2 linked regions of the Arabidopsis thaliana genome follow. The protein of the gene in region 2 interacts with the protein of the main gene of each other region in a pairwise test. Each region holds a gene or a part of one and is shown on either strand. Other genes may lie near its edges.

Evidence for each region.
Region 1: the proteins of AT4G11380 (region 2) and alpha-ADR interact in a protein complementation assay, tested with the Arabidopsis thaliana proteins (one study listed by BioGRID).

What each region holds. Positions count from the first base shown.
Region 1 is NC_003076.8:7,585,323-7,590,371, forward strand, and holds the start of alpha-ADR (alpha-adaptin), read right to left. Parts: upstream 3,001-5,049; 5' UTR 2,705-3,000; coding exon 2,579-2,704; intron 1,837-2,578; coding exon 1,705-1,836; intron 1,354-1,704; coding exon 1,228-1,353; intron 1,015-1,227; coding exon 952-1,014; intron 870-951; coding exon 772-869; intron 692-771; coding exon 484-691; intron 286-483; coding exon 214-285; intron 134-213; coding exon 41-133; intron 1-40. Other genes in the region: AT5G22785 (uncharacterized protein), read left to right, coding at 4,321-4,383, 4,394-4,522; AT5G22780 (Adaptor protein complex AP-2, alpha subunit), read right to left, coding at 4,778-4,934, 5,021-5,049. UniProt on the Arabidopsis thaliana protein: Subunit of the adaptor protein complex 2 (AP-2). Adaptor protein complexes function in protein transport via transport vesicles in different membrane traffic pathways.
Region 2 is NC_003075.7:6,918,294-6,926,600, forward strand, and holds AT4G11380 (Adaptin family protein), read left to right. Parts: upstream 1-2,195; 5' UTR 2,196-2,314; coding exon 2,315-2,401; intron 2,402-2,598; coding exon 2,599-2,641; intron 2,642-2,711; coding exon 2,712-2,734; intron 2,735-2,868; coding exon 2,869-3,066; intron 3,067-3,183; coding exon 3,184-3,297; intron 3,298-3,422; coding exon 3,423-3,673; intron 3,674-3,987; coding exon 3,988-4,123; intron 4,124-4,272; coding exon 4,273-4,452; intron 4,453-4,548; coding exon 4,549-4,641; intron 4,642-4,727; coding exon 4,728-4,939; intron 4,940-5,026; coding exon 5,027-5,090; intron 5,091-5,187; coding exon 5,188-5,367; intron 5,368-5,463; coding exon 5,464-5,556; intron 5,557-5,709; coding exon 5,710-6,092; intron 6,093-6,210; coding exon 6,211-6,400; intron 6,401-6,481; coding exon 6,482-6,685; intron 6,686-6,851; coding exon 6,852-7,151; 3' UTR 7,152-7,283; downstream 7,284-8,307. Other genes in the region: AT4G11373 (Serine/Threonine kinase catalytic domain protein), read left to right, coding at 1,366-1,470.

The DNA of each region.
Region 1 (5,049 bases), on a different chromosome or scaffold from region 2:
TCATGGTATCAACATTTCCCCAGCTATCCGACGAACTTACCAGGGATAGAGCTTCAAACAGCACAGCATGAGACGCATTGTTTTTATTCACATTTTTCACAACATCTGTCCCCATCAATATTCGCTGAAGGACCTGAAATTTCCATGAAATGCCATGCCATGAGAGGAAATTCAAAGACATATATTACAGATTTACACATGAAAATATTGAACCTCAAACAGAGCTTTTCTGGTACTGGGATCTTCAATGGTCGGGAAATATTGAAGAGCCCTCATTGCCTTAACCTGTACTAACCAAAGATATATAAGTATCCACGATATCTTTAACTGAGTAACAAAAATACACCAAAGCTGGGCCAAGCCTCTATTTTCATAAGCTAATTTCACATAAAATGTTTAAAATGCACAGGATTTGTGAAAAGGATGCGATTAAAGAATATTTAAGCTATTAAACAAGAGTGAATAAGCCGAGTTAAGTCAAACCTGGAGCCAAGGAGATGGGATGCCATAGTATGTGTACTCCTGAGGAACATCTTGGTTCCTAGCAAGGCGTTCTAATATTTTGACACATTTAGGTAGACAACTTGAGTACGCCTCATGATTATTAGATACCAGAGCTACAAGAAGACTCGTAGAAGACGTCAAGACACCAAGATCTCGTTCATCCAAAAGTTGTGCCATACGATCCGCCCTGGAAGTATACGACAAAGAGAATATGAAAGATGCACTAGTAAAATCAAAGAACCAGTAACCCCACAGTGTTATACACACCAGCCATCCACGTTGACAGCATCAGGATTTTTTCGGAATAAGCGCAGTAGGCACAGTGCTGCTTTTTTCCTTACAAGAGGTCTGCAACTACTAGAAATCTGCAGCAAAGAGACCCCATAACATAATATGTTTAGTAATATTGGAAAAAAATATAACCTCTCATCTTTAGGAGTCACTTACAAGTAGCTTTTGAACATCAGGTGCCAATGATTCAGCAAAATCCCTTCCACCGATATTTCCAACCTACAGGAGAACGTAAGCATGGCAAGGTAAGAAAGCTAGAAAGAAAGGACCAGTTTCATGAAGTAAGTGGCTCTGAATCGTGAAATGATAGAGCACAAAAGACATAATGTACCAAAGACTTCCATTAAAACAGTCATTTAACAACATCTTATAATCAGAAGAACCTAACTATGCTCTAAAATCTCAATACAGGGTGGACAAAAGACCACATACCAAGGTCAGTGCTAGGCACTGGAAAGTCTCATTCCGACCAATAATATCGTTCCGCACTGTATTTATTGCCAACTTCAAAAAGTCATGGTTCTCATTGAGCAAGCAAGATGTAACAATGTAGCCAACCTGTAATCATGGATGAAAAGTTCAATACCTGCAAATTAGTTAAGGAGCATGAAACAATATAAATTGGAAATACAAACCCTTGAGATACAATGCATGGTTCTGGTTAAGAGTTTCTAAGATGTTACTAAGTAACTCGTGCTTATAAGTAATTGTCTGCAATACTTTCCCAGGTCAAGTCAAGTTGCAAACGCATGAAATGGTATCTAGATCTAACTGTGTGATCTTCAATGAAACTTTCTTTGTTTCAGCTTGATCAATAGAATATATTTCAGCAAACACCTCCATCTATTATCTTCTCCTAGCCTTACAAAGAAAAATTTCTTTGTTTGAGCAAACAAAACGTTGGTTTACCTGCTTTTCTGGATACTTTGGCGCAGATATAAGAGAAACCGCCTCCATATGGCCAAAATCCACATCGTAGCCTAGCATATGTATATAAAGCATTTTCCAGACATATTTCTTCTTTTTATATGGTGTCAAAACCTGCAAAAATAAAACAGAATGTCAAGTAATCAAAGAGTTCTTGATTAATTCATTTCTAACATGAACCCCGAAAAAGAATAAGTTTAATGTTGGTCCAACTGGAAACACATGGATCCACTACAGGCCTGCTACAGCTCTGCTACGTGTAAGATGGAACAAGAATTTCACTCCAGAAGTTCTTACAGCAACAAAGCTTAATCTACTTCGTAATGAGCTATTCAAAATTTTCCGTGACCATGATTTAATTTCTTAGACCATCACTACATAACCGAATTTACTGCCAGACCATTCTTTTCTTCTAGTTCCTAAATGTCATCATATATTCAGTAATGAAATTCCAAGTTGAAAGCAATAGTAGTGATGTTTCAAAAGGTAGAATAATTGCTAATCTACAAGGATTTGAGCTAGCTATACAACGGCAACATTATACTGCCTATCTATTTTCACAATTGGTGTTAAATCAAAATTTATTGCCTCAATCCGATAAAGTAAGAAACTACAAGCTCCAAAACTATCCACTCGGCATGTGACCAGTGACTGTATCTTTGTTTCATCTACATTCTTATCTAACTCCCTAATCAACCTAATAGCTCTAACATTCGATTGCATTGGCATTGCAACTGCGAAGGATAAATCTCCAATATCTCTAATAAACCAAAACCTCAGCGGATACTCGACACTGAATTACCTCTCTAATGAGAATCAAAACATAGAAAATAGAATGGAGAGAATTGAGAGTAACCTTCTCATTCTTGAAGCATGTACGAATGTTTCCGAGCTCCTTATCAACTCGTAGTCTCTCCGCTTCCTTGTTCTGGCAATTACGAACGTCGCTGATAAATACGGAGAGACCTCTCATTCCGGTCATGGTTGAACCAAATCCTCAAATCCACCGTGCTCCGCCGCCTCACACGGCGCAGATCCAAACTCGCGGCACCGGATCTAACTACGAGATAAACCACAGACTAAAGCTGAAGCATAAGCAATTCGAGAGAGGTGAGATCGAAATCCCAATCTAGAAACGGAAAATGGCACCTTCAATCGAAGAAATTCAAAAGGAGAGACTGATCTTTGGAGAAGAGAGACACGCCTGCGGGAGAGAGACGAGAGACGACTTTTATTTTTCTTTATTTACAACTTTGACTATTCAATTTTGTGTAATTCAGTTTTTGTCTGTTTTGAAATTGGAATCCGAAATTGACCCGTCGAAAAACAGAATTAACGCGTCTAGACATTTGGACTAAATTTGAGGATTTATAAGTTTGCGTAATATTTTGTTAAAAAGTGTATCCTTCTGCCTTTTTGGGTAATATTTATTTACTGCTGTTTCTGGTTTCACTTTTTCATTTATTTTTAAAATGACTGTTTTCTGTCGCGGTCAATGCATTCAGTTGTAATTCAATGTACCATGAGAAAATCCTTAACAAAAAAAATGTACCATGAGAAAATCCGGTTATGAATTCGGGTCAGGTCAGGTCATGCAATGGTTTAGCTGGTCCCAACTTTTTTTTTTTTTTTTTCGTCAGACATGGTATTTGTTGGTATTAGTGGGAACGAAACAAATGGTTTATACGCAGTGCTGATTTGATTATTTTTTGTTATGAGCATTTTATAATTTTACTCAATGTATTATGAAATCTTTTGAATAAAGATTTTAGATACTCTATATTTCAGATAACAATTTTGCTAGAATCATTGCAACCAAATTACTCTGGTGAATAGGAAAGTATTGTCACTACTCTCGTTTTTGAAATACTAAATGTGTCTCATAACAAGATCATAATCTACAAGACGATGAATAGGACGAATTGTTGAGCTAGAAAAGCAGTGACGGCGATAGCGTATGCTCCTAGGATGTTGTTGTTTGGCAGTTTGAGTATCGAACTCGTAAACTTATATAACTAATGGAAGCACCAACCATTAAACTACAAGGCTTTTATATGATTGTGATGATAAAGCATCAGCTTGCTGGGCTTTAGATTTGGGTCGGCCCTGCTTATTGAACATTTTTAGTTTTATGGAAGATATTGTCCCTTTGCGTTAGCAACATCGGCTGATTTCTTAGGTATTTCGAACAGCTCCAATATCTCGGTTGAGTTTTTCTTCAAGGCATGACAAATTTTAGGGTATTCGATACTTTAAGAGAAGTTGCTTCTTCAACTTGAGCGACATTGATGTTGGTGAAGCAAACTTGCAAAAGTCAGACTTACTCAAATTTTGCTTAATCACTCTTGTTTCACAAGCCCCGGATCTAGGGTTCTTATATTTTTTTTTATTTGCAAAATTACAAATGATATAGTAATATAAAAAAATCATACTTTTGTCAATTACAAATTATGTAGTAAAAACAAAAAAAAATCATGCAAAAATTGATAAAACAGCTTTTAAATCCATAAGCAGTTTGTAAGAAAATTAAAAATAGTAAAAAAAAAATTTTCTTTCAATTATATTCTTCAAAGTAATAGTAAAAATCTGGTTGTATATATGTCGGTTGAATGTCCCACCAAGGCCAAGTCCCCACTCTATTCACACCTCAAATTAGATCAGGTTTTTACAGGTGAAATGCTATGCGTTGGATGTGTTTTTGCAATTTCCCCCCTTTATGACAACATTAAAATCTCTCAATGTGAAGGCTGGTGCGAAAAAACAGACCTCCCATCAGAAAACTCATGGAGAAACAGATTGAAAATATATAGGCACAAGAACAAGCTGATACAACCACTGACCTCACAATACAAATGTTCAGAATGAATGCAAAATTTCTTACCTAACGCAACCCGCCCGCTTTGGATAAACGGCACAAATATAATCAAAACTAGCTTTTTTCTCTCCCTTGGCTCTACATTTACTCTCCCATCATTCCATATTTTCGCCATTACATTCTACAATAACAGAAAACAAACTTTTCGACATGTGCAAGTAATCTTTTATCCCAATGAATTTAAAGTAAGCCAGCAAGCATAGCTCCTGGATCATCAGCTAAAGCCGCTGGGCTAGGCGGTTGAACTGCTGGTGATGGTGCTGGACCTGCTGCTGGAACTAGAGCTCGAGATCCCATTGGAATAGTAATTAATTGTTCCTTGATGAATTCTTTTAACCTGTAGATAAAAGGGGTCAACAATTGCAAATGAAGAAAATCTGTGATCGAGGTTGGGTTTGTGATTAAGAGGCAGATATATCATACTCAAATGTAAGGGTAGGATCTCCCGAGCC
Region 2 (8,307 bases):
TCTATCAGTGATAACTCGATTAGCCCGTTCCACAGTGGTTAAGCCAGTTGTGACAGCATTCACATAAGAGGTTGGAGTGCGATTTTGTCCTCCATTAAAGCCTAGACCGGGTTTGCCTCTGCCTCGACCAGATTGTCCTCGCGGTCTATCGCCCCACCACTCTGGGTATCCAATGATCACAAAGCAGTTCTCCGGCGAGTGACCGCCACGATTGCAGTGCTTACAAACGTTCTTGTTGGGGAACTTTGCAGAACTAGGATCAATCTGTGGACGAGACTGAGTAGCAAAAGCAGTGACATCTAGCTTTTCTTCCTTAGAGTATCTATTGCTCAACATGTCCTCTTCTTGTCTCACAATGTTGTAGACTTCTTCGAGTCCAGGAAGAGGAACACGTGATGTTAAGCTAGACCGAATTGTATGAAATTGAGTTTCATCAAGTCCATACAGAAATTGTTGAACCATGTCATCTTCTCTACCTTTCTCCTGCTCAGCTTCAAGATTACACACACATCTTCCACATTTGCAGGTTCGAAGAGGACGATAGTTGTTGATATTATCCCAAATCTTGTTGAGTTTTCCATAATATCCTTCAACAGTCATACCCTCTTGTTTACAAGTAGCAAGATCTGCCTTCATCTTCTGATTCTTTGGACCACTAGAAACAGAGAAGCGTTTACGAGTGTGTTCCCAAAGATCTCTAGCCACGTCACGGTGGGAGATATTCGTCAAGAGCGCCGGGTCAATCGTCATCTTCATCCAAGACACTAGCAAAGCATTAATCGTTAACCAGTCCTCGAGGTCCAGAGATTCTGACGGCGGTTGTGGAATGGAGCCGTCAAGAAAACCAAACTTCTTCCGTGAGCGCAGTGCTGTTTTGAAGCCACATGCCCATTCATCATAATTAGTCGACTTCAAGATCGGGTGGGAGATCACAGCTCCAGAGTTATCAGCGACCGTTAAGTCATACGGCGAGATCGTTCGCCGGACTTCAGTTACAAGAGGAATTACCGGAGGAGCAGCCATTACTCCAAAAGAAACTCAAACTTTATCGATTTCAAATGAAAAACCCCAGCTTTAGCTCTGATACCATGACAAAATCAAGAGACAAGAGATAAAGATAAGGTTTTGTCTTGATAGCAGCTTAAGTGTTTCTCAGACACTTATACAAAGAGAAAGCGTTTCAGACCTAAAGGGACAAGAAGGGAAAAGACCAAAAGGGGTTACAAACAGTACATAAAGCAACATTAAGCTTAAGAGCAACTAATTGATGTGCTCTAAATAAGATAAGTAGCAATATCTTCAACAGAGAGATCTTTGCTTCGTTTTGTTAATCTTTTTGTTGGGTTTGATTTGGTCTTTGGTTAGTTGCAGAGTGGGAATAAGCTCCGCGTGTTTTGGTGTCAACTTGTTGTCCTAGTTTTTAGTTTTGTTTCAGTTAGTTCCTGCAATTTCTCTTTCACGTATTTGTAAGAAGACTGAGTCTTCATCTTTAGGCTATTTAAAGCCAAACAACTATGATAATAAAACATCGAAGCATTCAGTTTTAGTCTCTTTGTTCTCTCAGATCAACACTTTTGTATGTTTATGTAGCAAATATGTCATAGAGATTTGAAGATTGAGAAAACACTGCTTGATGGTAGTCTTGCACCGCTTTTGAAAATCTGTGATTACTTGGCTTTGATCTCATAGGTCATTCATTCATTAGTCTCTTTTTCTTCTTTTGTTTCAGTTTTGGTTCCCATTATTACTTGGCTTTGATCTCATAAGTTTTTTTTTTAAGGAAACCCATTTAAGGATTCTACCTTTGGAGAAGAGAATTTATAAAAACTTGACAAAAACTCTAACCTTCAAAATTATTAATATTTGTTATTAAGAAATTTAAAGGATTCCTTATAAAAAACCCACCAATGGATTTGCTTTAAGATCCATTAAGATACTTATTGGAACCTGGAACCAAATCAAAACTCTTTTTTTTTTTTTTGGTTCGGTTCGGTTCAGTTCCAGTTTTATGGCAAAACCTAAGTTTAGGGGTAAATTGGAAAATATTCAAAAGTTTTAGCCAAATATCAAAGTTTTTACTAATTATCAAAAGACACACTCGAGAAATTCATAAATGGGCTAACTTTTATCAGAGAGCCCACTAAACAATCGGCCCGTTAGCCAAGAAAATCGTCACCGGCGTCTTCCATTCCAACATTTCTCCGTCATCGTCTCTCTCTCTCTTTTTTTTTTGTGTGTGCAAAACGTCTCTCTCTCTGTCTCATAAAATCTCAGAGAAGAAACATCGTCGGGTCAGGTCGAAGAAAGGAGAGAAATGAGTGGTCACGATTCGAAATACTTCTCCACGACGAAGAAGGGAGAGATCCCTGAGCTCAAGGAAGAGCTTAATTCCCAGTATAAGGTTTTTTTTTTCTTCTTAATCTTACTCTTGTCTCATTCCATGTGGATCTGTGATCCGCCATTATTACATTCACGATCTCTCGGTCGATGATCCTTCTCTCCTTGTAATTTAGTTATCCTTATACAAATTTTGGTAGATCTGTGTAGTTCTGGATTTTGAATTTTGAATTGAAATTGGTTTCGTGATTTTGTGGGAAGTGCGATGATTCCGTTCATTTTTCAGTAACTGATTGGGATATAGGTTAGAATTGGAGAGGAATTGGTAGGTTTTTGAGAATGGCTAATGTGGAGATGTGTGTGCAATCTCGTAGTAACTTTAGTGAAGCTTAGGTTGGTGAATCAGAACTTGTTCGATCTGGATCAGTGGATTTGGATGAAGAGTTTATGTTAATGATTTAAGAAGGAATGGTTCTTTTCTGCTTTGGCTACAGTTTTGTTAACCCTTGTTGTTTATTTACTGTTGCATAGGATAAGAGAAAAGATGCAGTTAAGAAGGTTATTGCGGCGATGACTGTTGGAAAGGATGTTTCATCACTTTTCACTGATGTAGTCAATTGTATGCAAACGGAAAATTTGGAGTTGAAGAAGCTTGTTTACTTGTATCTCATAAATTATGCGAAAAGCCAGCCAGATCTTGCTATTCTTGCAGTAAATACCTTTGTAAAGGTAACACTCAAGCAACTCAAACAAAACCACGTGGCATTCCTTTGTTCTGTTCTGAACCTGAAGGGGAAAGGAACTGATAAACTGATCATTACAAAATCATTGGTTTGTATTCTGCAGGATTCACAGGATCCAAATCCGCTGATTCGTGCTTTGGCTGTGCGGACAATGGGCTGCATTCGTGTTGATAAAATCACAGAATATCTATGTGATCCTCTTCAAAAGTGCCTAAAGGTTTGAGTTTCTAATGTTACATCTTCATTGGAATCTGATATCAAACATCTTTATTGCCCTTAAGAACCTGTTTCATCTTGACTAGTCCATCTTTTCACTATCCTGTGTATATTTTTTGTGTTTAGGATGATGACCCATATGTCAGGAAGACTGCGGCTATTTGCGTCGCTAAGCTTTTCGACATAAATGCTGAATTAGTTGAGGACAGAGGTTTCCTTGAAGCCTTGAAGGATTTGATATCAGATAACAATCCAATGGTTGTTGCCAATGCTGTAGCAGCCCTTGCGGAGATTCAAGAGAACAGTAGTAGCCCCATCTTTGAGATCAATAGTACCACTCTTACAAAGCTCCTTACTGCTCTAAATGAATGCACTGAGTAAGTCCTCTCCATTTCCGTAGTTTCACTGCATTCTGTTCGATTTTGAGTATTTATGGCCCCATTGTCCAGTCAGGGTTTAGGGGATGTTGATGGTTGTGAAATAGCTTGTTTGATGTGGTATGGCCTCTGTTTGGATATCATTCCGTTGTCTTTGTAACTATTTTCAAACAGCAGTTTAGAATTTTTCGTCATTGATGGTTTTATCTGTAGATAATGACCCAGTATATAAACTTTGGGGAAGAGAAGCATAAAATGAGTAATGGATAAGCTTTTGGTAGCTTCATTTTTAGTACTGACCATGATCATCGCAGGTGGGGTCAAGTTTTTATACTAGATGCTTTATCGAAGTATAAAGCAGCTGATCCCCGTGAGGCTGAAAATATTGTTGAGAGAGTAACACCAAGGTTGCAACATGCCAACTGCGCTGTTGTTCTTTCAGCTGTTAAGGTGAGCGACTTTCATTGATTGTTATCCTCTCTACTTCTAGTTGGTAGCTCGTCAAACTTGATTGTAAAACATCAGGCATCATCAAATGCCTTTGCATATTTTCCTATTGCGTTCTCACTTCTGTTTCATATTTGGTAATTGCCTGACAGATGATCCTTCAACAAATGGAACTTATTACTAGTACAGACGTGATTAGAAATCTTTGTAAGAAGATGGCTCCACCCCTTGTTACATTGCTTTCTGCCGAACCTGAGATACAATATGTTGCACTTCGTAACATTAATCTTATTGTGCAAAAACGACCCACTATCCTTGCCCATGAAATTAAGGTAGCATGACCTGTGTCTCATAGTTCCTCAGAATAAACAACTGATGTATCCGTGCATTTATTGATTATGTTGAAAGTGATATTCTTTTTGTTTTAGGTTTTCTTCTGCAAGTATAACGACCCAATTTATGTTAAGATGGAGAAGTTGGAGATTATGATTAAACTTGCCTCTGACAGAAACATAGACCAGGTATCCTCACTGAGCTCTACCATCTGCTGTGTGTCTTGATTATTATTGGTGCATATCTTTATGATTTTTGAAAATTGCTACTCTAGGTTCTTCTGGAATTCAAAGAGTATGCCACAGAAGTAGACGTTGATTTTGTTAGAAAGGCTGTTCGTGCGATAGGCCGATGTGCTATCAAACTAGAGAGAGCAGCTGAACGGTGCATCAGTGTTTTGCTCGAGTTGATCAAGATTAAAGTGAATTATGTTGTCCAGGAGGCCATTATTGTCATCAAAGATATCTTCAGAAGATATCCAAACACGTAAGTTGACATTTCTCAATCACTGTTGAAATGGCATCTTAAAACTCTTCTTTGATTTTGGTTATGCTATTCAAATATTTCATACAGGTATGAGTCCATAATTGCAACACTCTGTGAGAGTTTAGACACTTTGGATGAACCAGAAGCTAAGGTATTGAACTTTTTTGATTTTGGTTTGGAAAATTGAAATTTACCATCTTCATTTAATCTTAAATCACTGAATTCGGTATCTTTTGGTAACTTGAAAGGCATCTATGATATGGATCATTGGTGAATATGCTGAAAGAATTGACAATGCCGATGAGCTTCTTGAAAGCTTTCTGGAGAATTTTCCTGAGGAACCAGCACAGGTCCAGTTGCAGCTCCTAACTGCTACTGTTAAGCTATTCCTGAAGAAGCCAACTGAAGGCCCTCAACAAATGATTCAGGTTCGGCTTTTTCCTTGCTCACCACTGTTTTTATGATCGATTCATGAGCATGTATGTAATGACAGGCATGTTTTCCGTTATGCTTGATGTTTTCAGGTTGTCTTGAATAATGCTACTGTGGAGACGGATAATCCTGATCTCAGAGATCGTGCATACATATACTGGCGTCTTCTATCCACTGATCCTGAGGTGTGTGTTACCTTGATTTCTTATAGCTTTCTAGTAATCAACCAGTAGAGAATGAATATATTCAGGATTGGTTATTCAAGCAACAAGCAATTTTTATCAGTTGAGCTTTCTCTTGAGATGTATTTGGCTGAACTCATCATTTCTCTTGATTAGGCTGCCAAGGATGTTGTCTTAGCTGAAAAGCCCGTGATTTCTGACGACTCAAACCAGCTAGACCCATCACTTCTTGATGAGCTTCTTACAAATATTTCGACCTTGTCCTCTGTGTACCACAAACCCCCAGAGGCTTTTGTTACCCGCTTGAAAACGACAGTTCAGAAAACAGAAGACGAGGACTTTGCGGAAGGAAGCGAAGCAGGATACTCATCTAGTAATCCGGTTGATAGTGCAGCTTCTCCTCCAGGTAATATCCCACAGCCTTCCGGAAGACAACCAGCACCAGCGGTCCCAGCTCCTGTACCTGATCTGCTAGGTGACCTGATGGGATTGGATAATGCCGCTATTGTCCCGGTTGATGATCCCATAACTCAATCTGGGTGAGTTATGTCTTGATTAATGAAACTTTCTATTGTTGGGACTAGTTTATTACGTTAGGTCAATTTCGGTTGCCTAGTTCATACTGAAACTCATCAAATCTTATGAACTTGATCGTAGTCCTCCTCTGCCCGTTGTCGTCCCAGCTTCAAGTGGTCAAGGTCTGCAGATAAGCGCTCAATTATCCCGAAAAGATGGACAAGTATTTTACAGTATGCTCTTCGAGAACAACTCGCAGTCGGTTCTTGATGGTTTCATGATTCAGTTCAACAAAAACACATTCGGCCTTGCAGCTGCTGGATCTCTTCAGGTAACTCTATCTGAATCTAATTAACGTCTGAAACTCAGGTCTGAATCATTGAAACCAATATCCATGTCTGTACTGTTTCAGATTCCGCCTTTGCATCCCGCAACATCCGCCAGGACAATGCTACCTATGGTCTTGTTCCAAAACATGTCTGCTGGGCCTCCAAGCTCGCTCTTACAAGTCGCTGTCAAAAACAACCAGCAGCCCGTGTGGTACTTCACCGATAAGATTATACTTCATGCTCTTTTCGGTGAAGACGGTAGAATGGAACGTGGAACCTTCCTTGAGGTAACATACTTCAAAACTTGAGCTGTTCATATCGGTTCTGGTTTAGGAAAATAGTGACGACTGTGAAACCAAATCGGTTAGAGATAAATTTATACGGTTTGGGTTTTCATTTGGATATATCTTTATGTTTTCAAAGATTTTAAGTTTTTGTTTGCTTTTTAATCAGACATGGAGGTCGTTACCGGACTCAAATGAAGTCCTGAAAGAATTCCCCGGGATCACCATCACGAGCGTCGAATCAACTATCGAATTGCTCACAGCATTCAACATGTTCTTTATAGCAAAGCGCAAGAACGGGAACCAAGACGTGATCTACTTATCAGCCAAAGATCCACGAGATGTACCGTTTTTGATCGAGCTCACTGCAATGGTGGGCCAACCAGGTCTCAAATGCGCAGTGAAAACTCCCACTCCCGAGATTGCGCCTCTCTTCTTCGAAGCTTTGGAGCTTCTCTTCAAGGCTTGATGATTAACGTTGTTATCAAAAGGCTAATAAGACCAAGACCTGAAAGGTTTCAGAGATTCTTTCTTGTTTCGTTATATCCCACCTTTTTTCTTCTTCTGAGTTTAGTGTATGTAATAAATCCCATGTTTGTGTTACTTCCGGTTGCACCCTTTTAGTTTGGTATTTGTAATGCTCACTATTTTCTTATAATTCTTGTATCGGAACCACATTTTTTTTCTTTCGATATTTAATCCGGGAAATGCTGGTTTCTGAACTAATAAGGAAGATCAAACACCATCAAAGGACCAGATCACCATGGAAAATCAGTGATCTAGCTACATTGGAGCCGTTGATGATGCTAGTGATGGACAATGCCAAAACTTTCAAACATTTCTTTTAGGTGATAGGTACACTTGGGGCTAGAGACCAAAGACGGTTATTCTTGTATTTTAAAATCAGAATTGCTATCAGAAGCATGTGTTTTGTCATGCAGTGTGCAATTTGGAGTTTCTTTCAGGATATGCTAGCCACACTAAGTTTGCATCAGAGTGAAACATAGTAGTATCCTTTTAGAAAGTAAGGCATCGGCTCTTAAGTTAAACACAATTTGGATAGACATATGTGGACATGCAAAAGTTATCGTGGGAGGAGTGTTGGGAAACATATCTCCACCTATATCGTTTGGTCCAGGTACTATAGTTTTGAAGAAGATTATAAGAACAAAGATAAAAGAATAACTCTCTTTTCTTAACTCCATTCACTAATTGTACTAGAATGACAAGCAAAGCAAGTATAAAAAGAGGTTTCCACTATTAAAAAAAAAGAGATATTTTTTTTCACCTTCACTTGTAAAAGTGAACAGAGATTTGAGCATCATTGTATTGAGAAAGGAGTTGCATCAATCATAGACAAAATCAAAACAGAGGTAAGACAGCTAATGCAAAAGCTGATACTTGCTTAAGCTGTTAGACCAACTGTGACACTGGAATTAATCTACTGTGAACGTGGAAGTGGACACTGATGAACATCAACTAGAGTGATTCGACATGAAGGAACGAATGCAAAATTCAAAACTTAACCAACACATACACGTAATTAATTAGCTAATGTAAAAACTAGTACATCGTTAACATGTTACAACAATTGTACACCAGCTACTGGTCTCCGTGCAATGAGG